Linked DNA regions of Stegostoma tigrinum. The protein of the gene in region 3 purifies or fractionates together with the protein of the main gene of each other region. This does not show direct contact. Links are inferred from orthologs where the notes say so. Each region holds a gene or a part of one and is shown on either strand. Other genes may lie near its edges. The genes, in order: activating molecule in BECN1-regulated autophagy protein 1-like, small glutamine-rich tetratricopeptide repeat-containing protein alpha-like, bag2 and edrf1.

The links.
Region 1: the proteins of bag2 (region 3) and activating molecule in BECN1-regulated autophagy protein 1-like purify together in Homo sapiens (affinity purification with mass spectrometry; 3 studies listed by BioGRID, with this or other methods). This does not show direct contact. The link is inferred for Stegostoma tigrinum from reciprocal best matches to the Homo sapiens genes BAG2 and AMBRA1.
Region 2: the proteins of bag2 (region 3) and small glutamine-rich tetratricopeptide repeat-containing protein alpha-like purify together in Homo sapiens (affinity purification with mass spectrometry; 3 studies listed by BioGRID and IntAct, with this or other methods). This does not show direct contact. The link is inferred for Stegostoma tigrinum from reciprocal best matches to the Homo sapiens genes BAG2 and SGTA.
Region 4: the proteins of bag2 (region 3) and edrf1 purify together in Homo sapiens (affinity purification with mass spectrometry; 3 studies listed by BioGRID and IntAct, with this or other methods). This does not show direct contact. The link is inferred for Stegostoma tigrinum from reciprocal best matches to the Homo sapiens genes BAG2 and EDRF1.

What each region holds. Positions count from the first base shown.
Region 1 is NC_081370.1:2,164,049-2,171,224, forward strand, and holds the start of activating molecule in BECN1-regulated autophagy protein 1-like, read right to left. Parts: upstream 3,002-7,176; 5' UTR 2,547-3,001; intron 1-2,546. UniProt on the Homo sapiens protein: Substrate-recognition component of a DCX (DDB1-CUL4-X-box) E3 ubiquitin-protein ligase complex involved in cell cycle control and autophagy.
Region 2 is NC_081383.1:7,847,969-7,855,386, reverse strand, and holds the start of small glutamine-rich tetratricopeptide repeat-containing protein alpha-like, read left to right. Parts: upstream 1-4,404; 5' UTR 4,405-4,538; intron 4,539-7,418. UniProt on the Homo sapiens protein: Co-chaperone that binds misfolded and hydrophobic patches-containing client proteins in the cytosol. Mediates their targeting to the endoplasmic reticulum but also regulates their sorting to the proteasome when targeting fails.
Region 3 is NC_081357.1:92,219,324-92,226,287, reverse strand, and holds the start of bag2 (BAG family molecular chaperone regulator 2), read left to right. Parts: upstream 1-3,942; 5' UTR 3,943-4,664; coding exon 4,665-4,786; intron 4,787-4,839; exon of another isoform or gene 4,840-5,199; intron 5,200-6,964. UniProt on the Homo sapiens protein: Co-chaperone for HSP70 and HSC70 chaperone proteins. Acts as a nucleotide-exchange factor (NEF) promoting the release of ADP from the HSP70 and HSC70 proteins thereby triggering client/substrate protein release.
Region 4 is NC_081373.1:31,645,961-31,653,773, reverse strand, and holds the start of edrf1 (erythroid differentiation-related factor 1), read right to left. Parts: upstream 3,021-7,813; 5' UTR 2,761-3,020; coding exon 2,656-2,760; intron 1-2,655. UniProt on the Homo sapiens protein: Transcription factor involved in erythroid differentiation. Involved in transcriptional activation of the globin gene.

The DNA.
Region 1 (7,176 bases), on a different chromosome or scaffold from region 3:
CCCATACATAACTGTAGTTCAAGACTTGGAGGATGGAGAAGAGTGCACAAATGTACAGTTGCTAACTTTGCTGGTGATACAAAATGAAGTTAAGTGTGAAAAGGATACAATTAGTCTGCAAAGGGTAGGTTTGCTGAGCAGGAAAATTTGGCAAATGGAGTATAATGTGGATAAACTGAAAACAGCATATGATTTAAATGAAGAAAGATTGCACAACACTGGAGGTACAGAAGGATCAAGGTAGTCTGGTACACAAACCATACAAGGTTAGTATGAAAATGCAGCATATATTATATCTTTATTTTATTCCAATGCGAATTAAACATAAAAATAGGGATGTTTTGCTGGTCTTGTGCAAAGCACTAGCAAGACTACATCTAGAGCTGTATGTAAGGTTTTGGTCTCTTTACTTAAGGAAGACTAATCTTGCATCGAAAATAGTTCAGAATATCTTCAACTCAATGGATATCTAGGATGGGGAAATTATCTTTTGAGGAGTAGTTGGACAGACATGACCTGTATCCAAGATAACAAGGTGTAGAGCTGGATGAACACAGAGGGCCAAGCAGCATCAGAGGAGCAGGGAGGCTGACGTTTTGGGCCTAGGCCCTTCTTCTAGGCCCAAAACGTCAGCCTTCCTGCTCCTCTGATGCTGCTTGGCCTGCTGTGTTCATCCAGCTCCACACCTCGTTACCTCAGATTCTCCAGCATCAGCAGTTCCTACTATCTATGACCTGTATCCACTTGAGTTTAGAAGAATAAGGGATAGTCTTGCTGAAACATATAAGATCCTGTGGGACTATATGCAGTGGATGCTGAAAGGTTCCTTCCCATTGTGGTGCAATGACAAACTGGAAAAATGGTTTAAAAATGAAGATCATATGGGTAAACCATTTCAGATGAAAACTAAGCGTTTTATTTTTTTCTCAGAGGGTGATGAGTCTTTCGAATTCTGTTCCCCAGACAGCATTGGAGGCTGGGTGATTTAAAATTTTAAAGGCATACATAGATACACTACCAAAGGGGACAAAGGATATGAGGATTCAATAGGAATGGGAAGCAAGGAGCAAATCATCTATTTGTTTGTAATTCATATGGCTACATGGAAATTTCCTGATCTTTAACCAGTATGATCAGGCTTAGAATTTACATTTTAATGTTTATAAGCAAGTCTAATCATTCTGCTTGTGTTTCGTGGGGATTTCTTTATGTAAATTTTTTAAAATCATCTCATTTTTGAGGTAAATAAAATATATTCTGTGTCTTTAACACATATTTATGGCATCGTGTTGTTTGCGCCACAATATTATAAACTGTTTTTAAAACTTGATGTGTCTGATGCTTGTTAGCTTTGGAGATCCATTTTCACGCATAAACAGTAATTTAAAGAATAAAAACAGCACAGCTTTGACAATTTCCTAATAACTCAATGGTTGACATAAATTTTGACATGTTTCACACCAGTTTTTACATTCCAGTATATACCAAAGCGATTCAGGAATTTTCTACTCAAATGTCTGTAATGACATTGGAGGAAGGTCCAGGCCATCTCAAATTTGGAACTCCTCACCACGCTCAATATCATTTTCCTAAAATCAAGATTTTAAAGCCTGCAGTGAGCTACAACATTTGCCAGCACAACAATGACTACACTTTGAGAATGATATTTTGAAATATCCAAATTTATAACATATAACGTAGCCATTCAGGTCAATCTGGAAGTGGCATCTAACAAAGAGCCCTCCCAGCCTAATCCTACCTTATCACGCTAGATCAAAAGTCTGGCAGGTAACAATTCTTCAAAGCAGAATCAAATATTTACTTAATTGCGGTGACAGTTTATGTCTCGACCAGCCTCTGCATGGGCGAAAAAAAGTTTCCTCATCTTTCCTCTACCAATGACTTCAAGCTCTTGACACCTCTGTTAAGGAAAATTTGTCACCTCTATTTACTCAAATTCCCTCCTAATTTTACACACCAATTATGTCACCTCTCAGACTCAAACTGTTAGACTACTAAACATACTGAAATATTAAAAGATTACATTTACATAAATTCTTGCCTCGTCTTATAGTCGAACTATTTCGAAAGAGGGCCCTCTATCAGGGTTTTTCATTTCTCAGATTACAACATTAAAGAGGAAATGTCGTTTACAGGCCTACTGGATCACAATAAATTCATCAAATTAAAATGTCAGTAAAAAGGGGGCCAGTTTCATGTTTCCCAGAACCACTCCAGCCTAACGAGCTTCCCATTTTGTGCTTGTAAAATTGATGGTTAAAACACAGCCTGGGCAGACATTTTGTGTAGGACTCCCCCTCTTGAAACAGCATTAAACTATTCCCCAGCCCCGGAACACAGTGAACAAGGACAGTGCTTCACATTTATGAACTGCCACAGGAGAAATTCATTCCTGGAAACTGAGCAGTGGGTGGAAGGAGGCGGGAGGGGGGGGGGGAAGGAAAAATGTCCCTGAGAGATACCATGACAACTTGTCTAATCCACAGAATACCAGGCACAAGACTGTGGAGTTTTGCCTCACTTACCTCTGGGGAAGACAGGTAGAAAGTGCCGTACGTCAAACAAACTGGTTAGTATCCATCACTGAGCGGAATACAACTGTCCACCAAAAGGCCAAGTTTTGGTGTGGCCTAGAAACCTTTCACATATTCCATAATTTCTTGTGTTACAGACATCAATGTCTCTCCCAGACCAGTGTAATTGATACGGAGCAATGGATGCAATCCGGAGCCAGGCCAGAACAATGGAACCTACAACATCGACCATTCATCCCAACAGGAAGACTTCAGACAGCCAAGGCCAGAGCAAGTGAAATTGTTCAACCACCGCCTGCTTCCGCGACTGGCTGCTGGACCACTTTAAATGCCCGCTCGCAGTATCTCAGCTTAACAGTTCACATCAAACATGTGTATCTATTTGAAAAGAATACACCATGCATTACAGGCTTAGTTGACACGTTGAAAGGGTTTTCAGTTCACATGTTGTATCTGTGCCTCATCATCCATGGTTTGGTTTTTGCAATCGTGTGGGAAACCTGGAAACCTTCAGTCTTGGCAAACCTCCTATTGAAAATACTGGAATGTGAATTATGATAGCCTGTATTGTCAGTCTCATTAAGGCAAGGTTTGTACAATGTGCTTGAGTTCTTATTGTTAACAATTACATAACGTTATTCAATAAAGAACAAATCACATTACTAGGCTAAAAAGTTTAATCCTGGATATAGATTTAATTAGCTAATCTTAGCTTTGGCAATGCTCAGAGAACCACAATCTTAATAGAGTAGGAGATGAATATTATTTTGATGCAACATCTCACACATTCTCTCAGGATATCCCAATAATGTACCTTTTTAACAGTCATCATTGTTGTAACGGACAAAAAAATAAAATTCAATTTGCACAAAAAGTCACAACAGGCAGAAATGAAATAACTGATCAGATAACTTGTTTTAGTTACATTTGAAGAATACATTTAGGCCAGAATTCCATTCTCTTGTTTGAATATTCCCAAGAAATTTCTCTTGGGAATATCTTACATCCATCTGAGAGAACAAATGGGATCCCAATTTCATATTTATTCTGAAAAACAGCACCTTTTTAAATCTAGTACTTTAACTGCGCTGCACAAAAAGTTACATATTCAAGTTTCAAGATGAGGCTTAAACCTAGGAAACTATTTCTTTGTTTGCTCTGAATAATGCAACCATGCATCCTTCTGAGGCACAATTCAAAGCACTACCGCTGACAGACCAATTTTCTTGAATTACTGCACTTGTCCAAAAGACAATTTGAAGGAAGTTTGGTGTTCTTGAAAATTACATTAATTGTAACTCATGATCATATAACAAGTTAGACTGTAAAAATTCTCATCTTTGACCTCACCTAAGTGTATGATTCAGTGTGTAATGCTGTATAATGTTAAGTTGCCAGTTTCATTTCAGTTATTTACCCATTCTGGGGCCAAGTCTTGGTTTAGTAATAATTTATATTGACCATCTTTCAACACAGTCAGTTTCACATCAGAATACAAACTATTAAACTTTGCCATGTGTGAATTGGGTAAGAACAGTAATAAGTTCAGCTGAAGGCCAAATAGTGTGCCGATATTTGCAATGCAGTCACGACTGGTGAGTAACGCAGGATACAAAGAGGGCATCGATGTTCATTGGACTGTAAATAAAATACTGGATGCTGGAACTCTGAAAATTCTAAATAATATTGAGCGTACCCAGCGTTTTCTCCTTATATCTGCAGAACATCCTGTTGGGGACAATGAAAGAATGGGGAATGGAACATTCAAAAAAAAAGAGGAAAGTGGTCAGAATGCATCTCATCTGTATTTCTAAAACAATCAGCCTTTGAAATTCTCCTAAGTCAGAGAGAACTTCCCTGCAACTTCAACTTAAGATTCCAAAACAGAGGGCTGAAATCTCTGCCTAACTCTCTCACTACTTTGGAAACTGGGTCACTGCTACCCTTTGCCTCCTGGGAAATGTAGTCCCCTCTGGGCGCAGGGCATACTGGGGTTTGTAGGCCACACAAGATGACTCTCTGTTTGGCGACCACACATTCGACATAGCGGGCTTCGTAGTCGTTGTGGGGAGGAAGAATAAAATCCTAATTCTATCACGGTGAAAAGAAGACGCGTCGCCGACTTTTATTTACTGGAGCGTTTTCACTCGTGCTTGGTTTAGTTTCAGTGGCGGGAGTTGTGGTGTGTGATGATGGCGAATGTGCGCGCCGGCGCTGAGGGGCGATGTTCGCGGAGCGTGGCGGAGGTAAACAGAGGCAGTTTGAGGCCGGGAGGCCGCTGGCGACGCCGTTTTTGTTGTTGGGATCGCGGGTGTGATTGGCGATTGAGGACGGCTTCTCCCCAACCCCTCCACCGGGCTGGGGCGACGGGAGCCAAGGCCGCCGCTCCGTTCAACTCGGGCGGTGCCGGAGAAGTCTGCTGGAATGTGAGGGGTGAGTGTCCGCTGGGGCCTGGGTAGGGGCTACAACCCATCGGTACCGTCCTCACCCGCTGAAAACGCGGGTTTGTTTTTAATATAAGTCTCACTTATTCATAATTTTACGGCACCGTGCAGCTTCGGCGTTTATTCCCACTTGTGTGCGGCTAAGATGTAAGTTGCTGTTGTTGTTGACTGGTTTTTGGGCACTGGCACAGGCACTGCGGGCCGAATAGCCTCCTCTGCTGGCTGCGATGTCGGGGAGCCAGTTCGGGCCGAGTGATGATGACCCTTCCTTCGGAACTGATTTTTCGCTTCTCTGATACCGCCGGACGTGCTGAGCTTTTCCGGCAATTCCCGCTTTCGTTTCTGATTTGCAGCGTGCGCAGTTCTATCCGTATTTTTTTTTAAAAAAAAGAAAAATTCGGTGCAGTTTCAGGACTGAAGGATTTGCTCGGCCGCAAGACAGTGGCGTTTAAAAGTTGTCTTTTTACCCCGGAAATTAAACGGGCCGTTGATTTCTTAAATCGCGACTGGAAACTTCACTGTCCAGTGTCCTTCATGTATATGCAATGCAGTTTGTCTGTGTCAACATACAGCTTTTCAGTGGATTTCGTTGGCTTGTGAGGCTGCTTTTATTTGTTTTTCCTGGTAGTACCGAAGACCTGTTGCAGGCTGTGACCCAAAACATGCAAGTTACTTAGGCACAGGAATCAGCCACTCAGCCCGTCGAGAAGCTCCGCCATCTAATTAAATCGTGGTTGACCATTACTCCAAAGTCACTTTTCTACGCTATTTCCACACCCGCTGTTATCATTTGAGAATGAGAATCTTACTGATTTCTATCTTGAACATATTCAGTGATTAAGTTACCCCTCCGGCAAAGCTCCCGTACGACTTTTCCCCACTGTGCAGCCTTCCCATGTCCGTGCACACTAACAGTTTATGGAAACAAACATATAAGCATGCTATTTGGCGTGTGCAGACCCCACCCTCAGCAGTCGCACATCTTGGAGGGAATGTTGCTGTCCGGGATCGTGAATTCCAGCAATTCCCCATCCTCTGGGTGAAAATAGATTCCCCATAATCTTGAATGGTGTGCCATTGCTCTGGAATTGTGACACCTGGTTTTAGGCATGCTAGCCAAGGGAAATTCCTGTCTACAATATTCCTACCTTAATATCCTTGCAATACTCCACAGACTGCGGTCATGACAATTACTTGCTTCCTACTTTCTGCCTGTTAACCAATTTTAAAATCTGTGCCAGTATACTAATCGCAAACCCATACACTTTAGAGATAGTAGGAACTGCAGTTGTTGGAGAATCTGAGATAACAAGGTGTAGAGCTGGATGAACACAGCAGGCCAAGCAGCATCAGAGGAGCAGGAAAGCTTGACGTTTCAGGCCTAGACCCTTAGTTTTGTTGCAATTAACCTCCCATTGAAGATTTTATCAAGCCTTCCAAAAATTTGAACACAGCACATCTACTGGTTCACTTTTATCTATACTACAAGTAACATTCTCAATAAAAGACCAAGTTTGTCGATTTGATTTCCTTTCATTCAATCCATGTTAACTCTGCCTGATTTTTGTGTCCAGTAAATATTATCCTTTACAATAGATACTAATGTTTCCTTAGTACTGACATCAAACTAACAGATCTGTAGTTGTCCATTCTCCCTCTTAAATGATGAGCTTACATTTGCCACTCTTCAGCCTGCAGGAATGCTTTCAGTGTCTGTATCATTTTGAAAGATGATCACGAATGCATGAATCTCTAGCCAAAAACTTTGACACTGGAATGTAACTCATTTGGTCTAATGGATTTATCAGTCTTGAAGGTCTGCGTGTGACAGCAGCTTATGGAAGGTTTGATTGTGCAGCCATTGAGAGATTCTGAAGTGCTTAAAGGGAATGTTGCCCTCTGATTAGTGAATTCTAATGATTCCCCACCCTTTGAATGAAAATAATTGGTAGTAGATTCTTTGCGCATTTTGAGAGATTATTGAGAAGCAAATTGCGAAAAGGCTATTAGGTGAGAATGTGGAGAAATCAAAACAACCATAATCCTACTCCATGGCAGAAGAGGCTCATAATTCTCATGTTAATATATAGTTTCTCCAGCATTTTCTGTAAACTGCCCTGTCTCCAACTGTAATGGGCCCTCATTTATCCTGGCTAATTTAGCCATCACATGTATCT
Region 2 (7,418 bases), on a different chromosome or scaffold from region 3:
TCAGATGGCAGGGTTTACTAATGAAGAGAAAATGGATCAGTTACAATGATATACCCTGGAGTTCAGAAGAATGAGAGGGGATTCTCAGAGGTGTCTGGGGAATGCAAAATTCTAGACAGGGTAAATGCAGGATTGATGTCCCCAATTACCCGGGAGTCCAGAACCAAGGTTCAAAGGCTAAGGATACTGGGTATTCCTGAGACAAGGGGGAATTTCTTCACCCAGAGAGTGCTGAGCCTATGCAAGTCCTTGCCACAGAAAGCAGCTGAGGCCAAAACATTGAATGTTTTCAAGGATATATGGAAGATGTAGTTCTTGAGGCTAAAGGGATCAATTGTTATAGGGAAAATGTGGGAACAGGGTATTGAATTAGCCACAATCATATTGAATGTCAGAGCAGACTTGAAAGGCTAAATAGCCTACTCCTGCTCCTAGTTTCTATGTTTCTAACGCAGTAAAATGTTTCGAGGCAATCCATGAAACAAATTTAGGACCTAGCCACATATTAAGCATAGGACCAAAGTTTTGGGCAGCCAGGTCGATTTTAACAAGGATACTAATAGTGGCAAAAATGCTAGAGAACAGGAGCAGTTTATGAACAACATTCAAAAGGTTAAGATGAGGTAGTTGACACAATCATCAAAACGCTATGGAATCACAAAAGACTGGAAATAGAGGAACACGGATTTCCCAGAAAGTTGTGGAGCTGAAGAAGGTTACTGAGATGAGGAAAGCTCAGACCATGAAGGGATTTGATAACAAAAGTAAGTTTAAAAAATTAAGGCATTACTTAACCCAGAGCCTGTGTGGGAACAAGGAGCGGAAGAAGGATAAATGATACTTGGTGCAAGTCATGACGCAGGCAGCAGAGTTTTGGATGGCTTTAAGTTTATTGCAGAAAGAACACAGGAGGCTGACAAGTGCATTGTAGTAGTCAAGTCTAGAAATAATGAATGTTTTTAATCAGTAATTTTTTTTAGTGGAAGGGAATGATATGGGGTAAAGGTAGGAAAGTGGAGTTGAGTATCATCAGATCAGCCATGATCCACTGAATATCAGAGCTAATTTGATGGGCAAATTGGTCTATTTCTGTTTCTACATCTCATGATCTTTGCTCACAATGACTACTCTGTCCTCAGCCTCTTATAGCATTCCAACATGGTCTAAACTTGACAAGCAGTGCTTCAGCTTTCAGATTAGGTGTGTTACACCGTACAGAGTCATTGTTGAGTCCAACAATTTCAAACTGTAATCTCTTTCTCTTTTTGGGAATTTTTTGTCTTACTCTTTTACTTTCATGTTTGCTTTTGGATGGTAGCTCTTCCTCACTCATTCCTCCATCTAGACATATCTTTTGTTTCTTTATTTGTCTCAGTTATCATTATCTTTGATCCTGCGCCATGGACTGTTGTTATTTGATATCTCTTGTCCTCCACCGTATCAAACACCTTTCTTTTGTTTCCTTCCCATTCTTTTCTAAATTTTACAAGTTTCAGTGAAAGGTAATTAACATGTGAAGGCACAGCCATGAATAGTGAGATCAAATAATTAGCAGGCATACATTAGCCAGAGTTAGAGAAAAATCAGAATTTTTGTGGGAGGTTACAGAGATGGAGTGGAATAAGAATTTGAAAACTGAGCATTGCCGGACCGTTGGGTTCAAAGCAATTAAGCTCACATACCTTAAGTATGAACTTTGTTTCGCTGTTCACATATTCTATGACCTGCAGAACATTTCCTGCATTTTCTGTTTTTATTTTATGGGTGGTTACACCTATTGGGATATTATACATGGGATATGGCCATCAGTAGCTAGGCATTTAGAGTCATATAGCATGGAAAAAGATCCTTCAGCCCAAATTGTCCATGCCAACCAGATTTTGTAAACTAAACTAGTCACATGTGCCTGCATTTGGTCCTTATCCCTCAAAATATTTCCTATCCATATAATTGTTCAAATGTCTTTCAAATGTTGTAATTGTACTGGCCTGTACCACTTCCTCTGGCAACTCATTCCATATAAGATCAGCCATGATCATATTAAAAGTCAGAGTGGACTTGAAGGGCTGAATTGCCTATTCCTGCTCCTAATTCCTATATACACACCACCCGCTGTGTGAAAATATTGCCCCTCAGGTCCCTTTCAAATCTTTTCCCTCTCACCTTAAATTTATGCTCCTTCGTTTTGGACTCCCCAACCCTGGGGGAAAAGCCTTAGCTTTTCACCTTATCAATATATCTCACAATTTTATAACCTCTACAAGGCTACCCCTCAGCCTCCTATCCTCCAAGGAAAAAAGTTTCAACCTATCCAGTCTCTCCTTGTAACTCAAACCCTCCAGTCTTGGTAACATTCTAGTAAATCTTTTCTGTATGCTTTTCAGTTTAATAACATCCTTCCAATAGCACAGCGACTGGCACTGCTGCCGTACTCCAAATGTGGCCTTATCAATGTCTTGTACGGTCGTAACATGATGTCCCAACTCACTGCTCTGACTTACGAAAGCAAGCATGCTAAATGACTTCTCCACCATGCTGTCCACCTGTGATGCCACTTTCAAGGACCTATGTACCTGCATCTATAGATTCTCTATTCTTGGCTTTTATAACTTTGTGTCTTTGTGTACACAACATTCAACTAAAAATTAGAGAAAGATGTAAAGGTGTGCTAATTTTAAAAATACATTTTCATAAAGCAATATTCAAAATTTTCTGTTTTTTTTAATGCTTCATCTTTGTCCCAACTTCACCAAATAATTATGAACTTGGGGAACTGCCACAGTGTTTGAGTCTAAATGTTCTTGCTGTAGCAGTAAAAGATATTAATGATAAAACTCTTAAAACCTTTTCAAGCTCTTTGTCACTGTTATGGTGACATTGGTTTATCTCACCCAGGTTCAACTTTTACCTAAGCAACAATGTATCAACCACTGACCTCACTGATGTAATGAAACAGGTTAAATTTCTATCTCCATGATCCTCAGCTGTGAAATGCCATTACTGACAATGCATAAGAATCCTGGCGGGTTTACAAATTACTCAAATTTCCATGCTGACACAAAAACGTGTTTCCGAGAAAGCCTGACAAAGTAAATATCTGCACTAAAATGAAATACACCACGGCATCATATTTCCTACTTCTCGAATTACCACCATGACAAAATTATTATCCAACTGATTAGGTTGTTTTCTCTCAAAAGCATGTTGAAGGGTGACCTGATATATGTCTTTATGAGTTAAAAGTGTACGTATAAGCCATTTCCATTTGAGGATCATGTCAAGAAGAGGGGCCATAAGGAATTCCCAGCCAGTGAATGAATGTAGAGTTAGTGCAGACTTGATGCTGAATTTCTGCACTGTAGGGATTCTATGATAAGATAGTCAGCACTAAATCCAGGAGAAACCTCTGTAAAGAGGGTGGACCTCAGAAGAGACAGGCAACACCTAAAGAATGAAAGGAATAAAAGAATATGTTGTAACAAGGTGTAGAGCTGGATGAACACAGCAGGCCAAGCAGCGTCAGAGGAGCAGGAAGGCTGACATTTTGGGCCTAGAGCCTTCTTCAGAAAATAATATGTTGATCAGGTTAGATGAAGGGTGAAGAGAATAAGATAATATATTGATAAGAGTTAGATGAACGACATGAAGAGGCTCATGTGATTCATAAGCATTGCGTCAGTCTGTTCTACTGAATGGCTTGTTTCTGAGCTTTAATTCTGATTTCACAAATTGACTTCAATACAGAACAAGGTTTATTTATCCTTAAAAATAAAGCTTTGTGTCACTGTCAGTTTTACTATTTAATATATAATTAATTTATAAACAAGAAAATATCAAATATTGGGCGTGGAATGCCCTGCCTGCCAATGTAGTTAACTCAGCCACATTAGGGGCATTTTATGATGGGATAGTGTAGGGGGAGGAGCTTAGATTAGTTCACAGGTCGGCGCAACATCAAGGGCCGAAGAGATAATGGGAACTGCAGATGCTGGAGAATCCAAGATAATAAAATGTGAGGCTGGATGAACACAGCAGGCCAAGCAGCATCTCAGGAGCACAAAAGCTGACGTTTCGGGCCTAGACCCTTCATCCCCCTCTCTGATGAAGGGTCTAGGCCCGAAACGTCAGCTTTTGTGCTCCTGAGATGCTGCTGGGCCTGCTGTGTTCATCCAGCCTCACATTTTATTATCGAGGGCCGAAGGGCCTGTTCTGCGCTGTATTGTTCTATGTTCTGTATCTGCTGAACAGCATATCAGTTACCAAGCCTATCATCACCACTTGAAGCATTAGCAAAGGAAGTTTCGTCCCCTATATCGGAGCATGCATAAAATGATACTTATTTGACAGATGCGGGCAACCCGAGCAGATGGGCACATGCACCCTGGGGTTCGGCCGTCAACGGGGAGTACGCATGCGTGCTGCGATCCGATCGTCAAGCCGAACAGCACATGCGCTCTAGGGTCCGAAGTCGTCTCGGACGGAGCATGTGCAGAGAGTGTTGTCTTGGTGTTCGTGTCCGTATTTAGTATCAGAAAGCGGTGAGTTTGAAGAAAATATTCCTCAATGGCTTTTGTGTGGGTGATATGAAGAAGTTAGAATGCACCTCCAATTTTGTTTTAAAATAAAGGAACTTGGTATTATAAGTTGGGTCGCTTTTCTGTCGGCTGTGTAACTAAGTGTGAGTGAGGAGGCGCTCAGCGATGCTAGGCCCAAGCTGGAATGTTCTGTCCTTGTATCACTCTGACTTGGGTTTAGTTGTGTGAATATCTCATGTCGAGATAGTTGGCACATTGATCTGTGCAAGCAGTGTACATGTCCTCTGTATTAATGCTGCTCCTATGAGCTAATTTTCAATTAGCTATTAAGTGTTTGTTTGCTGGCTTACCATTTTCACAAATTACATTTGCTGTCTAGAATAGACTAGTGCATCAGACATCAGCATGCAATGTTGTGTTCAAGTAGAATCCAATTGTCAAAGGACTGGACTGTGTTGTAAGGCCTACATAGTTAAAGTGGATAAGGTATGATCATTTTGCAAGCTGATTTGCAGCACTACATTTTGTGTATTCTCTGCTGATTTGGTGTAATATTTATGTATTCAATTGTAATGGATAAAGTCCCCTTGCTTTTTAACTAACTTGTTTGTATTCTGCACCAAAGCAGGAATGAATTTTGGAATCACAGAATCCCCACAGTACAGAATACAAACAAATCCATTGTACATGCCTATTTGCTGTTTGTGTTTTTTTTCTATGTTTGCTTTTCCAAGCCCCCTTGCGCAGGGTGGCTTTCCTTCCTCTACTGAGCCTTTCTCTGTCACATTTATTTTCAATTTATATTTAAATGTTTATTGGTTTCCATTGAAGTTGTGCCATTGGCCTTAAGCAGCTGATTTATGTCTTTCTCATTTTTTCCCCAACTTTAATTATCCTGGGATGCAGTTGTAAAGAATTTGAATAAGCCTTTATTATCAAGTGCACTTGAATGAGTGCAGTGAAAAGTTTGTAATGTCACTATTTTGGCAGCTTCTTAGGAACAGGGTGCTTAGGTACAGAACACTTAAGTATGTGTTGCAGACTTGAAAGAATTGCAAATAAAAATTCAGTGTAAGGATAAACAAGTTTTCTTTTTAAAAAGTACTCAAATTTTAGTCTGTGCCAGTACCGAGCCTTCAGATTGCCCAGGCCAAGTCTCTAGACCCACTAGGCCTCAGATCTTGAGCTTCCAGTCCCCAAGGGCCTTGCTTCTGGTCCACGACTTGCTGCATCTGCACTGGCCTCCGTCCCAGGACTCAATGTCCCTGTGCTGGCCTGGCCCGGGACCCCCTTTGCGACTTGCTGCCCTCGTCGGCCTGGCCTGGGAGTTGCTTCTGGGACTTGACTGAGTTACTGTCATGCTGTGGAGAAAGGGGTAACCCTATCTCCCAGAATGGTGTCCTGATTCTTCAGTTCAGGAAGAAGGAAAAAAAAGTAATAGTAGGTGACCGTTACTACTTTGTGCAGTTGAATGGCTTCAGTGCGAGCTATGTTTTTTTTCATTTCAGAACTCAACAGATGTACAGCTTTTAGTAGCTCAGTGTTTGCATCTGTACTTGGAAAACATGGTGTAGATACTACAATAATTCAAGCTTTACTCTTATTTTTCTGTTTGCATAACAATTTCTTCAGAATTGGAGGCACATTATGGTGCAGAAGGAGGCCATGCTGGCTTTGTGTTTGCACCAGCTAGCCAACGAGCATTATGGCTTAGTGCTGTTTTCCTGCTTTTTTTTTCTTGTACCTTTGCATCTTGTTTTTACTTAAATAATCATCTATTTCCATCTTGAATGCCTCTGAATCTGGCTCAACCACATTTCCAGGGGGTCTAAACCATGTGTGAAAGCTTTTTTTTGACATCTCATTCACCATATTTACAAGTATCTTTTAAATTTCTGCATTCTTGTTGTGGATCATTTTATGAGCAGGAACAGTTTCTTGCTATAAATTCTATCCAGATCTCGCCATGATTTTGAAAACTTCTACTGAAGCTGCTTTTTAGCTGCCTCCAGTCCCAATATCTGCCATCAATGCTCATAACTGAAGGTATTTATCTTTGGAAGCATTTTTGTAAATCTCTTCTAAACTCTGTCCAATGCATTCACATCCTTACATCAGTGTGGTACCCAAACAAAGCACAGTAGTCCAGCTGAGATCTAACAAGTGTCTTGAATAAGTTCAGCTTTCCCTCCTTGCTTTTGTATTCTCTGCCCCTTTTTTAAAAAATGCACAGAACTGTTTAACTGCTTCCATCATTCCCATTACCTTCAGTGTTCTATGCAGATACACGTCCAGGTCCTCCTCCACCTGCACCTCTTGATTTTGTAACATTGGCTATGCTCTTTCTCTATAAATGCATCAGCTCAGACTTCTCTGAATTGTATCACATCTGCCAACTCTTCCCCACTCCTCCACTTGTCTTTGGCCTTTTGGAATTCTGCACTGTTCTCCTTTACAGTTTACAGCTTTGTATCATCTGCAAATTTTGAATTAACTCCTGCCCACCAAGATCTAGACCACAGGCATCTTACCAAGATCATCACTATGCCTCTACTACTTCTTGCCTTCAAGCAACTGCCAAACCTTTAAACAGACCATCGTTTGCAGTAAACTACCCAGCCTTTGGGTGAACATTGACCACAACACCACACAACCTTGCCATGGCAATTTCTGCAAGATGTCAGATCTTGTTGACATGGATACAACAATTGCACATGGGAACACCACCCACAATATACATGGCAGATACTTGTGACTAGGCCGATATTGTCTATCTCATGTGCTGCAGACAACGATGCCCCAAGGCATGATATATTAGCAAGACCATGCAGACACAACAGCAACAGATGAGTGAACGCAGTGCAACAATTGCCAGACAGGAAT
Region 3 (6,964 bases):
TGTAACAATACATGCAGGAAGAAGATAATGCAGTATAACTCAGTGGACAGTTTTGATGATCTGGAATGCACCACCTGAGAGTGTAATGGATACAGAGGCTGTCGAAACCTTCAGAAGAAAATTACTGAGGCAGACTTTTAATTCTAGATTTATTGATGGCATTTAAATTCCTCCAGCTGCCTTGCTAGGCTTTGAACCTCTGACCACAGCATATTACAAGGTTTTATGGATTGTTCATTCCCCACCCCCAAAAGTATGAGATATTGAAATGTAGCATGCTAAACAAAGTCATGATGCCAAACATCAGAGAGGTTCAAAGCTCAACATGAGTTCATGACTTTTCAGCTTCAGTTTTTATCTTCAGTACTCTTTGAAGAATCATGTTGCAAACCATGCTTTGTCATGCACCATATCTTACCTACATCAAAGGTGCATTTCATAGATAAGACCTCAGGACATCTCTTCCCAAATCCTTTGAAGTAATATTGCTGTAAAGTGCTTGTATGTTACAAAAGCTACTTTCCTTGAATAGGACTACCTCTCTTTTTAAAGACTTTGAAGAAGAGATTTTATTAATCATTATGTATGGTCAATGGATAGCTCTACCAATGTTTATTGTCCTTGCCACAAAAATTACACCTTAATTACTCATTGTTAAACATTGCTGTTAGTTAACGTCCACCTTAGAACTATCTTTTTATATTGGAAATCCTGTTGTTCAAAGATGCAAGGAAATTCAGTTAATAATTTTCCAGAATGTCCAACACTCAAAAACAAAAAGGTGCAAGATCTCTGATTACCACTTGTCTTTGGGCAGAGATGAGTCGAATCTGTTAAACTAAGTGAAACTGATTGAAATCTTGTTTTGTGTACAGTACACTGATAGATCAGAATACCAATTTGAGCCAAGACACTCATTTAATATCCACTCTTCTCACTTTCGGTGAAGTTGAAATACAAGGGGTACATATGTTAATTGTTCAGATTCACTATATCTCGATAAACATTGGGTAAATCCCCATAAGCACATGACTCAATTGGTATGACTAATGCGGACTAATTTGAAGAAGGTATGTACAATGCTGAAATTCATTATTGTTCGTATTAAAGCAACACTATAAACTGCAACCAAGATAGGAGATCTTTTACATGTACTTCCCTGGAATGTATATTTCACATTGATTTCCCTTCCCCTCCACTTAGCTTTTTCTGATAGTACAGTTTTGTTTTGTACAAAATGGTTATTGCGTTCCTTACAATAATGAAGAAGCTTCCAAAAGTGCTTCATTTGCTATGAAGGAATTTGGGATATCTGGAGATTATGATAGATGCTGCGTAAATCAAATATTTTTTCTTCACCCATCGTCATGAGATTTTCTGAGATATTTTGAGAGAGAGACATAATTATATTTGCGTAGAGCCTTATCAACAAAAACATCAGCTCAAACTCATTGTGACAAACTTTGTGACATTATCACCTCAGTGTTTTGAGATCAACCTGAACTTCATTATATAACTTGACCTGATATTTCATTGCAGCACTGTCAGAAGTGATGTGTTTCGGAAATGGCAAGCAGCTCAAATATAGGTGAAGAACAGAGTTCTTTCAGTGACTTGGCTATTTAATTCTTCTCTCTACCTCCAAAAGCTTGCCGTTTATATTGCACAGTTAATGTAGCAAACACAATTGTAGCCTTACAATCGTATTAGCAGACAACAGGTGAGGGGGCCAAAGAGGATATCAAAACAGGTGAGAAACGCTTAGTGGAAGATGATGTGCTGGAAGATCAATCAAACAGAACAACATAACCAGCTTGTCTGGCTGTCTATTTGACTTGATGGAGACATGATCTGATGGGTACTGCATCATTAGTGATTCTTTATTTAAACATCTTCAAGTAATGCAACCAACATGTCAGTAACATCCAATGAACTATACAGAGAATAAATGACCAAAGAAAGAAATGTTGTGAATCTCCTTCCATCCAAACTTTCCAAGTAAGTTCCTGCTTTTTATTTCAACCGTTTGCATATGATTGAAGCCTGGTACACTTTTTGTGCACATGGATGGCCACATGAAGGTTAAAGGAAGACCTTCTATTTAGTGGGATAACAAGGTGTAGAGCTGGATGAACATAGGCCGAGGAGCAGGTAAGCTGACATTTCGGGTCCAGACTCCTCTTCAGAAATGGGGGAGAAGAAGGGGATTCTGAAATAAATAGGGAGAGAGGGGGAGGTGGATAGAAGATGAATAAAGGAGAAGATAGGTGGAGAGGAGACAGACAGGTCAGAGAGGTGGGGATGGAGCCAGTAAAAGTGAGTCTTGGTGGGGAGGTAGGGAGGGGATAGGTCAGTCCAGGGAGACAAGTCAAGGGGGCAGATGAGGCTGGTAGGTAGGAGATGGGAGTGGGGCTTGAGGTGGGAGGAAGGACAAGTTAGGGAGGTGGGTACGAGCCTGGCTGGTTTTGCGATGTGATCGGGATGGGGAGATTGACAAGTTTGTGAATCATCCCTCACACCCTCTCCCTGCAGTCACAACCAAAACAGGATCCCTTCATCCTCACATACCACCTCACCAACCTCTGAATCCAACGCATCATCCTCCAGCACTTCCGCCGTCTGCAATCTGACCGCACTACCAAAGACATTTTTCTCTCCTCACCCTTATCTGCTTTCCAGAGGGACTGCGCTCTCTGTAACTCCCTTGTCCACTCCACACTCCCCACCAGCCCCACCACCCAGGGCATTTTTTTTGCTGCAACCGCAGGAAGTGCTACACCTCCCCCCTCACCCCCATCGCAGGCCCCAAGAAGACTTTCCACATCAAAACACATCTGCTAATGTGGTATACTGTTTCTCTGTTCCGGATGTGGCCTCTTCGACATCGGGGAAAACCAAGTGGAGGCTTGGGGACCGCTTTGCAGAACACCTACGCTTGATTCACAACAAATAACTGCACCTCCCAGTTACGAGCCATTTCAACTCTCCCCCCCCCCCCCCCCCCCACTCCTTCAACAACATGTCCATTCTGGGCCTCCTGCAGTGCCACGACAATGCCACCCAAAGTTTGCAGGAACAGCAGCTCATATTTTGCTTGGGAACCCTGCAGCCTAATGGTATCAATGTGGACTTCACACAGGTTCCAAAAATCTCCCTTCCCCAAACCACATCTCAAAACCAGCCCAACTTGTCCCTGCGTCCCTAACTTGCCCTTCCTCCCACCTATCCCTTCCTCCTACCTCAAGCCCCACCCCCATCACCTACCTACCAGCCTTGACCTGTGTGCCCTCCCTGGACTGACCTATTCCCCCCCCCCCCTAACTCCACACCTACACTCACCTTTACTATCTCCATCCCCACCTCTTTGACTTGTCTGTCTCCTCCACCTATCTTCTCCTCTATCCATCTTCTTTCCACCTCTCCCTCTGTCCCTATTTATTTCAGAACCGCCTTTCCATCCCCCATTTCTGAAGAAGGGTTTAGACCTGAAACCTCACCCTTCCTGCTCCTCTGATGCTGCTTGGCCTGCTGTGTTCATCCAGCTCTATACCTTGTTATCTCATATTCTCCAGTATCTGCAGGTTCCTACTATCCCTGAAATGTCTATTTAGTATTTTTTTATTGGTTTCAGATACTCCAAAGTGTTTTGCAGCCGCTGAAGTACTGTAACATTTTACATTGCACTTGACAATGATCAAGTAGATTTTAAGTGATGTTTATTAAGGGAGAACTATTAGCTAGGACTCTTTTTTTTTAAAAAAACTACCGACATTTTTTGCGCCACTGAAAGACAATCTATTTCATATCATCTCAAAGACAACACCTTCATTAGTGAAGGACATCCTCGATACTGGGCAGTAGTGTCAGCCTAGACTGGATGCACATATCACCAGGGGTCTTAAAAGCGTGCGCAACTAACGGACTCGGAGGTGAATATGTGCAACTCACTGTCACACGGATCTCCAAGACTAGATCCAACTTCAGAATAATCAAAGAACAATATATTCCCGATCTTGGTAGACTGGTACGTCTCATAGCATTTTTAAATGAGCCCATTCATCTCAAAATAGGGTTGAAAAAAAACGATTTTTTTAATTTATTGGTGGTGAGTTGTAGTCTTGAATCATTGCAGTCTTTGGAGATATTGAAGGAAGAGCAAGATATGGGCTCAGAGGGGAACTTGGTGGTGACGGAGTGGGAAATGGAACGAATCACGTCCAGAAAAAGAAATTCCAGCTTACATTAGTGTTTCACAAAGAATAAACACGAGGATAAAAGACTTTTTAAAAAAAGATTTTGACATGTTCACAATCTCCATCAACAGTTGACTGGAAAGATTGAAAAAATGCGCCTTGCTAAATATATTGCTTGGCGCCTGCTGAGTTTTTTTTTCTAGAAAACCCACTGGCCAGGAATAAATCTGAGCCAGGGACTGAGAGATTTCTGTTGCCTCTGTTCTGCATCCTTCTTTCCTGTGAGTAGAGGTTTATCCACCCTACCCCCCACCCCTCCCTCCTTGGACAGTGGGGGAGTCCTCACCCTATTTGGAAATCTTCATCTCCCACAGGAAGACGAGCAGATCCCACAAGAGGAACCAAGATTCCCGGAGGAACGGGAGAGAGAGAGAGAAAGGCCAGTTGACAGCCCTGAAACTTGTCAGCATCATGGCCCAGTCTAAGATCAATCAGGTAAAGGGGAACGATGTAGAAAACAAGTTCTTCCGCTCTATGTCCATGGCAGATCGATCGGGGCGGCTCCTGGAGACACTGGACAACTTAGAGCTGAGGTAGGAGAGGACACCAGTCCCGTCCTTTAAAGCGGTTCATACAGAAACAAAAATAACACACAGGTTGAGAAACGAGTGTAATCCTCGTATTTGTTATAATTTTTTTTAAAAAGGTGAAAAATGTAATTGTTATTTTCTGGAATTGTTCTTTGGGATCCTAAACAGAAAAAAAATCCTTGAGGTCAGGATGGCCTTACCGAATCGGAAAGAGACTTCTGATTTTATTTTTAGTGAAGACTTCCTGTCGCCGCCCCCTCTCTAGCTGTCTCTCTCTCTCTCTCTCTCTCTGTGCCTCTCGCCTGGTCGTTGAGGCTCTGTCAAATCGTAATCATGCCGCGTCCCGTCTTACCCAGCAGTTGGCCTCTTAGTGATATTCGGTGCATACAACTGTAGCTTTCAGTCAGCAGTAAACGGTGTGTACAGCTCTGATTTTTTAAAATATCGGATCACAGGCACAGAGTTCTTTCGGCCTTCAGCCGGGAAGACCGGAGACAGCACTAATATGGGGCTGTTCAAAATCTTGGGGAGTTTTCACAGGGGAAAGCCGACGGGAAGCGGGGCTCCTGATCAAAGGACACAGGTTTATGATTATTGATTAAACAAAAGGTTTTGCAGCAGCATTGATACTGCATTTGAACTGCAGTGGCCTCAACTGCTAAAACTTGAAAACCCATTTTGTTTTTAAGGTTTGGTAAACTTACACTAATATGCTGTGTGCCCGATTCCCGTTTATTCACAATGAATACTCTGAATTATTCCTGCAGTTGAGAATTACATGTCAATACAATAGTGACTAAAACGATACCAGTCTGAAAATGACTGATCTTGTCTGATTTTAGAAGCTAAGCAATTCAGGCCTGACCAGTACTTGGAATGGAAGACAGCCTGGGAAATAAACGTGCAGTAGGCTTTTAAGAATTTTAATTGCACAGTTGTCATGTCCCTATCCCTGGACCAGGGCGTCTAGGTTGAAGACCCACCTGCCTGCGAGGTGTGTTATAACATTTCAGCATGTTGTTGAAGAAAACATTGAGGAAGAAAATAGCAGTTTCAAAACAGGCCTGTGACCCGGCGGCTAGCATCACTATCTCTGGGCCAGAAACTTCAGGTTGATCGTGCCTTGTGGCTTGATTGCTATGTAAGTTAGGGATGTAAATATTGTTTAAAAATTACCTGTCTTAAACTAATAACATTTAAATGGTTAATCAATATAATTTTAACAGATATTCAAACTAAAACTTTTTTTAGCTTTTGTAGTTTAAATTGTTCTCAGCAAATATGAAAATGAGCGAATGGCTAAATCTACAGAAACATCTGACACCGTCTTATACTGCATCCTCAAAAATTACTAACAAATTCCCTTAAAAAAGTTGCTTTCTAGGCAGCATTTTCTCTGATCTGTTTTGCTAATAAATATTGTACTGTAAATATAAGAAGTGATGAGGTATTGGAGATTTTGGTGGATTTAAAAGTGGGGACAAATCCCAGTTCTAGATGAGTTGTATCCCAAGCTGCTATGGGAGACGTGGGAGGAAATTACAGGGGCTCTGACCCAAATTTTTAAGTCTTCTCTGGCTACAGAGGATGTGCTAGAGGACTGGAGGACAGCTAATGTGGTTCCATTTTACAATAATGGTGGTAGAAATAGGCCAGGGAACTATTGACTACTCAAACTAACATCAGTAGTAGGGAAATTATCGGAGAAAGTAGTGAATGAGAAAATTAATCTCCATTTAGCAAAACAAGGTTTGACGCGGATAGTCAGCAGGGATTTATCAGAGGGAAGTCATGCCAGCAAATCTGGTGGAAATTTTCGAGGAGTTAACCATGAGTTTGAATCAGGGTAGGGTAGTTTGACGCAGTTTATATGGATTTCAGTCAGGCCTTTGACAAAGTTGCAAATCAAAAACTGATAAAAAAGGTAAAAGCTCATGGGATCCAAAGTAACTTGGCAAGTTGGATCCAAAATTGGCTTCGTTCCAGGAGACAGAGGGTGGTGATAGATGGTTGTTTGTGAGACTGGAGCCCAGTGTGCAGTGGTGTACCACAGGGATCGGTACTGAGTTCTTGATTGTTTGTGATATTTATCAATGATGATAAATAAGATTGTGGATGACAAGACTAGCTGGGTTTTTTTGGCAGTGTAGAGGAAGGCGTTAGTTTGAGGTTAGAGACAAT
Region 4 (7,813 bases), on a different chromosome or scaffold from region 3:
AGCAAATATATGGGAACACTATTATCTGCAATTTCCCATCCAATCCATGCCCCATCCTGACTGGAATATATACCATTTCAGTTCTATTGCTCAGTCAAAATGTTGGAATTCCCTTTCTAACAACACTGCAAGTGTACTTACATTTGTAACAGTTCAAGCAGGCAACATTCACAGTTCTTCCCAAAGTTGATCAGCACAACAACTGTTAGCCTTGCTTGTATTGGAGGCAATTGTCATCATCTAAAATTCTTGAGATCAATTTTAAAATCTAGGAGGTGGTAAAGTGCATTGTTGAAAGATACAACACTTTTCTCCAAGCTTTCATTGAGCTTCACTGGAACAGCATGGACTGCAGAATTAAAGCGACAGGTGATGCTAAGTTCAGAGTCTCATTTCTAAACTGAAAGATTGCATTCCTCAAAAAGTCACCTAATCTGTATTTGGTTTACCAAATGTAAGAGGTATTTTATCAAATGCACAAAATGTAGGTTAAACATCTGAAAGAATAAATCACTGTTCCACTGGCAGAATGTTTTTGGTATCTATAATGTGAAGGGTGGAAGAGGCAGATGTTACATCCCCTATGTTTTTAACAGAACGTGCCATGGGAAGGGGGAGGCAGAATGCAAAGTGAACCTCTGGACTGGAAAAAGGGAAGCATTTGCTGACATTACAAGGAGCAGAAATTGCAGATAAATCTGTTGAATGGGCAGGCTGGAGTTAAGAGGAGTCCTGCTGTAGTACTGGAATGGCTGAGAGGAAACAGACAGATACTGTTTAAGATCCTAACAACCAGAATGAAGGGAAATCCCACAATAGAGGAAGTAATGGTTCAGAGGTGGCATAATCAGAACAGGCAAGCAGCAGCACAGAAGATACAAGAAAGGAAGCAGGATTGTAGGGAGTGTAGTCACGTTGACAGTTAGAGTCTGAGAGAGCACAATAGGAACTGTTTGGTAGCCTATCACCTGAAACAAAACAAAGTAGTTAAGGAACACTGGGAGCTGAAGGGCAGGGAATGGTGGAAACACGAAACAAGGTTGATTGCCTAGAGCTGAAAAATTCAACAGTAGGAAATACCAATTGCACCATCAATACACAGAAATAGATCTGCTGGAGGGGCTCCCTAATTGTACTATAATAAAGAATATGCCACATATCCCATGAAAAGACAGATAGGGGCCATTCTCATGTATGAATACTCATTTTACTTAGGACAAGTCAGTGAAATTGAGGGAAACTAGTACAAAATTGACGAGTGCAGGCAGGCAGAGAGAAGTGTTGGTGAATAGGGACAGATTACTTCTTGTTTGAATGGAGGCCCCACAAGCCCTCTAGCCCCCTCAACTTGTCCCTCAGAACTGGATAGGCGGGTGCTTAGTTGCATTATTCTCCATTAGTGGAAACTGCAAGTGGCTGCGAGCATCAAGAGTCACAAATACAGACATCAGAAGGTCAGACAAAAGGATAAACTGGAATATGAGCTGTGAAAACAAGGAATCAGATGAGTGGAGTAAAAACCAGATGAAACAATAACTGTACGTGGGTGGCCGTAATTGTGGATCTTCAAAAGGGGGCAGAAGATTTTGTGCTGGTTACAACTGCCGATGCTGAAATCAGAGATAACACAGTATGGAACTGGAGGAACACGGCAGGCCAGAATTTTCTGAAGAAGGGTCCTGACCCAAAACATCAGCTTTCCTACTTGATGCTGCCTGGCCTGCCGTGTTCCTCCAGTTCCATACTGTGTTATCAACTTGCAGGGCTGTGGGGGATAGAGTAGGGAAATTATAGTCGCTCAGAGATCCAACATGATTTTGATAGACTGCCTTGCTCCTGTGCCGTGATAACTGAGATCTGATCTGATCTTTCTTTCTTGGTCTCCAGTTTTGTAATTCCCAATCGCACAAAATTCTCTAAGGTAGTGTGGAGCTGGAGGAACACAGTATGGAACTGGAGGAACATGGCAGGACAGAATTTTCTGAAGAAGGGTCCTGACCCAAAACATCAGCTTTCCTACTTGATGCTGCCTGGCCTGCTGTGTTCCTCCAGTTCCATACTGTGTTCCTCCAGCTCCACACTACCTTAGAGAATTTTGTGCGATTAGGAATTACAAAACTGGGGACCAAGAAAGAAAGATCAGATCAGATCTCAGTTATCACGGCACAGGAGCAAGGCAGTCTATCAAAATCATGTTGGATCTCTGAGCGACTATAATTTCCCTACTCTATCCCCCACAGCCCTGCAAGTTGATTTTCCTCAAGTCTTCATGGAACTTCCTTTTGATGTCATCTTTCATTTGAGTACAACATCCTCAAAGGCAGCATTTCCATGACCATAAATTGCATTTCAAAAGTTGCAACTCAAAGCAACACACCCGCACCATTCCTATCGCTAAAACTTTCAACGCATCCCCTGGTTTCTAAACTACCGGGAGCAACTGGCAAATGGTCATTTCGAGGGCCTTCTGTGCTTTGTGTCCTTGGAGAAGTAACCGGGATCCTCCGGGATTGTGGATAAGGGAGGGGTGGTGTCAATAACTGACGAGGGCTACATCCAGGTGAACAGCAGGGTTGGAGATGGAGGCTCGACCAATGAGGAGTCTCAAAATTTAAAACAAAAAGTTCGAGAAAGCACAAAGGACCTCCTACCTACCTGTTTCAAGTCACAAGTTTCCCTGCTGTTACTGCTACTCTCTCTGACTTCAGCCTTTCGAGGGGCAGAACCACTGGCTGCGGCCGCACACTCCCTTCCCTCCATGGTTACTCGGCAGCGTGGGGGAGACGGGCCACTCCGGGCAAAAACATGAACCGGCTTCTTGCCCAGAACGTTCTAGAAGTCATTACCAAACAAGTGGGACAAGAAACGAGGTTAAACGCGGCGCTGTCGAACACAAAGGCGAACGGGAGTGTTTTCCTACCCTCGTGGCGGCAGCAGCCGGGGACGGTCACTACCGGCACCCCCCACCCCCTTGCCCCAAGCAGAGGCGAAGCACCAGTAGTGTCACCAGAAACTTCTGCCGGAAGTGCCGCAATCCAGTTTCCGGCAACGCGCGGAGTTCCGTTAGAAACGGTCAGAGCTCGGAAAAGAGAGGGAGATGGTTGCTTCGTTGCTGACGGCAATCTCTTGTACATTCGTTACACCTATCGCACTTATTGGAGAGGAGGCATCCGCCAGAAGCACCCCAATACACATGCAGGAAAGAAAATGTTTTCATTTTGGCTTTCGCTGCCTGGCGATCTATGCCCCTCACCTCGCCTATCTCAAAGCGTTTTATTCTCTAATCTAACAGAGTGGGGAAAGTTGATTCAGTAGTCATAATGGTGGAGAGAACGTTATATCTGGATTTCGGTGGCAGGTACAAAGCCATATGTCAAACGTATGACGTCTTGTTGAAAGCAACATTTGTTAATTTCAGGGATCAATTCTCTGCAAACAAATGAGTTCAAGTCTTGTACCTTTTCTGAATTACCTGGGCGACGAGGGAACCTGAGCTCCTTGTTTTTTTCCATGGCAACACCCTGGACATCAGAGATGTTTTGCCATATTCCTCCTGTAGCATAAGCTGTTGTCATCATTTGAAGGTTGGCTTTCTTGTGTCGACCCTGGAAATGGAAGACAAAGCGAAACATAAACAGCAAGTCCCGCTGTTCATCAATATTCAAGGTCTTTATAATTTAAAAAAAAGTATGTGATTAATATTATTCCTAATGAATCTCATTTGTTTATTTTGATGCCAGCACATGTTTATCCAAAAGTACTGCAAATGTTTAGAAGTTTGTTTAGCTATGTTCAGAAGTTAATTCCACATTTTACGCAAAAATATATGTATTTCACCAAATGCTTCATTTTGTTCTGAATTTGTAGCATCAAGAAAATAGAAAATTTTATAGTAGTGTTTAAATATTCCTGAAATGTAGTGCAACCCATATAGTGGAAAATACCTATGATTTCAGCGCACAGTTGATCCTTCTGCTCATTTTCACTAAAGGGTAGTATGTTGGTGAGATAAGCATTGGGGTTTAGATGTTCCAGGAATGTTAATATCTGCTATTTCTGTTGAGACGAATAAAAGATACATAACTTTTTAAAAATTCAAAATACATGGCTGATGAAAAACTGCAGCGAAAACAAACTACAGAAAATGATTATGCAATCTGCTGATAATTCAACTATTAAAACAGTAAATGTTGGCAATTATGTAGTTGGTCAGACAGCATTCTCTGTAGAGATTAGTGACCTATCATCAGGACACAATATTTTACAATCATGCTTGAAATTAGTCAGTAATTTGAATTAATCAACACAAATGGAGCAAAATGGGAATTCAGTGATGAAAATGAGAATTAAACATTTAGAATTGAACAAATTTGAATCAAGGGCGAACTACCCTTGATTCATGTATTCAAAATATTTCATGGGAATGCCAAGGATAAAATATTTACTTAATTATTAACATGTATTAAATTGCAGATAAAACAATAAAGAGCTTCTTTGAAAAATAAAGAATCTGTTGCTTTTAAAGAGAGGTGGGCACCTTGGCGGGATACTGTGCTTTATTTCCCTCTCCACCTCCATTTTGGTTTTGTCTCTTCCCTTTCTCCCTACCTCCCATCTTCACTTTTGAGTGTATGTATTGCCCATAATGGGCTTTGCTTGTATATATTTAATTAACTACATGGCAGTTGTGGTGCAATGGTAATGTCCCTATCTCTGAACCAAGAGGCCACAGCTCACGTTCCACTTGTTTCAGAGGTGTGTAAAATCATTGCTGAAAAGGTTGATTAGAAAATATCTAAAGAGTTTGTCAGATGTGCTCTCATAACACAGTGCTAATTTCTCTACTTTTGCACCAGGAGGCCTGGGTTCAAGTCCCACCTGCTCCACAGGTGTGTCATTAACATCTCTGAACAGTTGATTAGGAAAACATAATAAAGGGCCTCTGTTTATATTTTTGCCTGGGTGCCATTGGAGACAGAGCACATAGTGTCCACCAATGTTCCCAATGCCTTTAGAAACAGGTGGTACCCTGAGGGCTTCAGTGCTGTATTTCCCCCTTCCTGTTCTCCCTACCATTCCCTCACTTCTGATGGTTTGCATTGTTCGTGATAGGCTTTGCATGTAAATATCAGATTGGTTGTACAGGTGACTTATTGGTGGTGGTTAGTAGTTGGAAAAATTGTCAGTGATTTGGTGGTGGGAAAATCATTCGATTTTGTGTGTAAGGACACTTCTGGCGATATATATATATTACAAAAGTAGCCTCTATAAATTATGCAAAATCGCAATTATGCAACAGCTTGTTGCATTTTTACTGGGCACTATTTACAAATAGAATGATAGCTCTTACAGGACAGAAGTAGGTCATATGGTCTGATATGTCTTTGTCAATTTTTGAAATAACTTCAATTTAGACACACCAGTTCTTCTGCCAGTAAACCTGAAAATTAATCCAGCACATGTCCGGTTATCTCTTAGAAGTGCTAAAGGGATTTGCTTCCACCACTGTTTCAGGGTGTGCATTTCAGATCCTAACAAGTCTGTAGGTTTTATTCCCCTTTAGACTTTGCGACAATTACTTTAAATCTGTCAGATCTTGTCATTGCTTCACTTGCCTGAGGATCCACATGACTGAGGTTCCTTTTCATTTGTATAATTATGGTTCCATACAAATTGGGAACAGGTAACATTAACATTATACCTTAAACATTGTTTTGGGGGTTTGACCGTACAGTTCTAAAACCCCGTGTGTGTGTGTGTGTGTGGGTTGTACACTAAGGACTTAACTGTGTTAGATCCAGACTGCTCATAATTGTCTTGAGAACTTTTTCGACATATAATTGGAATGTCAATTCAGCCAGATCTTAATTGTTAATCCATTTTGAATGAAGAACTCTGTTAACTTCTCCATCATTAGCTTGGCAGAAATTGTTCTCAAGGAATTAGCATCTGGAAACAAAGCAGTCAAACCATAAAAGTACAGATATACTGGTTTCTCACTCCTGTTTTCAGTAGAAGACACTCACAGTTTACCAGCACCCCAAAGATTGATTACCCAAAAAACAGTACAGGAATTAGTCTGAGATAATGGGAACTGCAGATGCTGGAGAATCCAAGATAACAAAGTGTGAAGCTGGATGAACACAGCAGGCCAAGCAGCATCTCAGGAGCACAAAAGCTGACATTTTGGGCCTAGACGCTTCCTCAGAGAGGAAATTAGTTTTGCTGGTTTCTTTTCAGCTGTGGTTTTCCTACAATCTAGCTATTATGACACATTTTTTAAAAAAAAAAGTTCTTTTGAAGTCCTGGCAAGGGAAATGTCATCTTATTCAGGTTTGGTTTTTCTGGATCCTTACATGTCTTATTTCGGAATTTAATTGGCTATCCTTAATATCTCCTGATGATATTTGAGCAGCATCACTATCTAGTGAACCATCTATCTTCATTCACAGGTCTGTGAGAATGTCTCTATTTCCAAATTAGAATCATATTTTTAATATTCTAGTATTCTGGAAATGCCTCTGCTTAAATTTTGGTTTGTGCTGAATATGCTTCTTAACTCTGGATTGACTTGCTGAACCTTGATCGAAGAAGACTTATAAACATTTTTTTCAGATTATTCAAATCCCCAAAGTTTCAGAAAGCCTAACACCCGTTGCGCCAAATTGGCTTCCAACATTTAAATTTGTTTAGCCATTGTTCAGGTCAGTATACATGAAGGCAAAAATCCTGGAATCTTTTCCTGCAACTGCTTTCTGTTTTTATTGAAGAAGCTACTATGTTACCGCTGGCAAATCATTCCCAAAGTATAATAATGTGTTTACCTATCTCATTTGATAAGGAGCTGCTTTTCTTTTCAACAAGCATTCCCTGTAGCTCTTAGGTAACTAATTCACTTTCCCTGCACCCACAGTAATACTGCTAGTATCTGGCTTCACAACTGCACCCAGAGCCACAACTTGGTCTGTTATACTCATGGTAAGGGTCGTTTTTTCTGCATAAATCTTGAGCACCCCAGTAAGTCCAACTTCTAGCAAGCTGCATGAATGCAACTAACCTTGTAACAACGAAAAGACTAAGGCTTTTAAACAGCTGTTCCATCCTAATCACCTCTGTGGTCTAAGGAGGAGGTCCGAGGGTATTTTCAACTGCTCCGTCATGTCCTTGACTACTTGCCTTCCTTTCATCCTCCCATTTTCTATTCTCAGATTTGTGAGGGTAATAGAAAAAGTGATTTTGTGAACAAACACAATCATAAGCCATTTTACCCGCCTGGTTGTTGTAATCAGGGTCTCTGTGTGGATTATTTCTCATAAAAGGACTGAATTTTAAAATTCCTCTCAGAGAATTATGATAGTTCTCGTTTGTGGTGTCTACGTCTAAATCAAAGGTAATTTGGTCAACTCTTTCAAAATTCTATAGAAGTCTGTCAAGGTTGCATTCTGAAGATTCTGAAATTTCTGTATTTAAACATCAGGGACCACTCATATGCACCAAGAATAACTACATTTGCCATTTCACAATCATTAGAAGCTTCTTTCAAAAGCTCTGCTTGTGCAAAGCAGGCTAACTAGAAATGTCCACTTTTGGCCACCTTACTGTCTGGCTGTCTTTTGAAAAGAAATTTAAAAATGCTTCTACATCCTTGTCATGAAACTTTGGGAGTGCCTGCACAAAGTTAAGCAACTGCCCACTGGTTCTTTCTCTGAAATTCTAACTCTAAATTCATCTTATCCAACTACATCTGTAACAGTCAAACCTCATCTTCTTCTGTTTCTACTTGTTACTCTGGCTCTTTTCACTCAAATTTGAA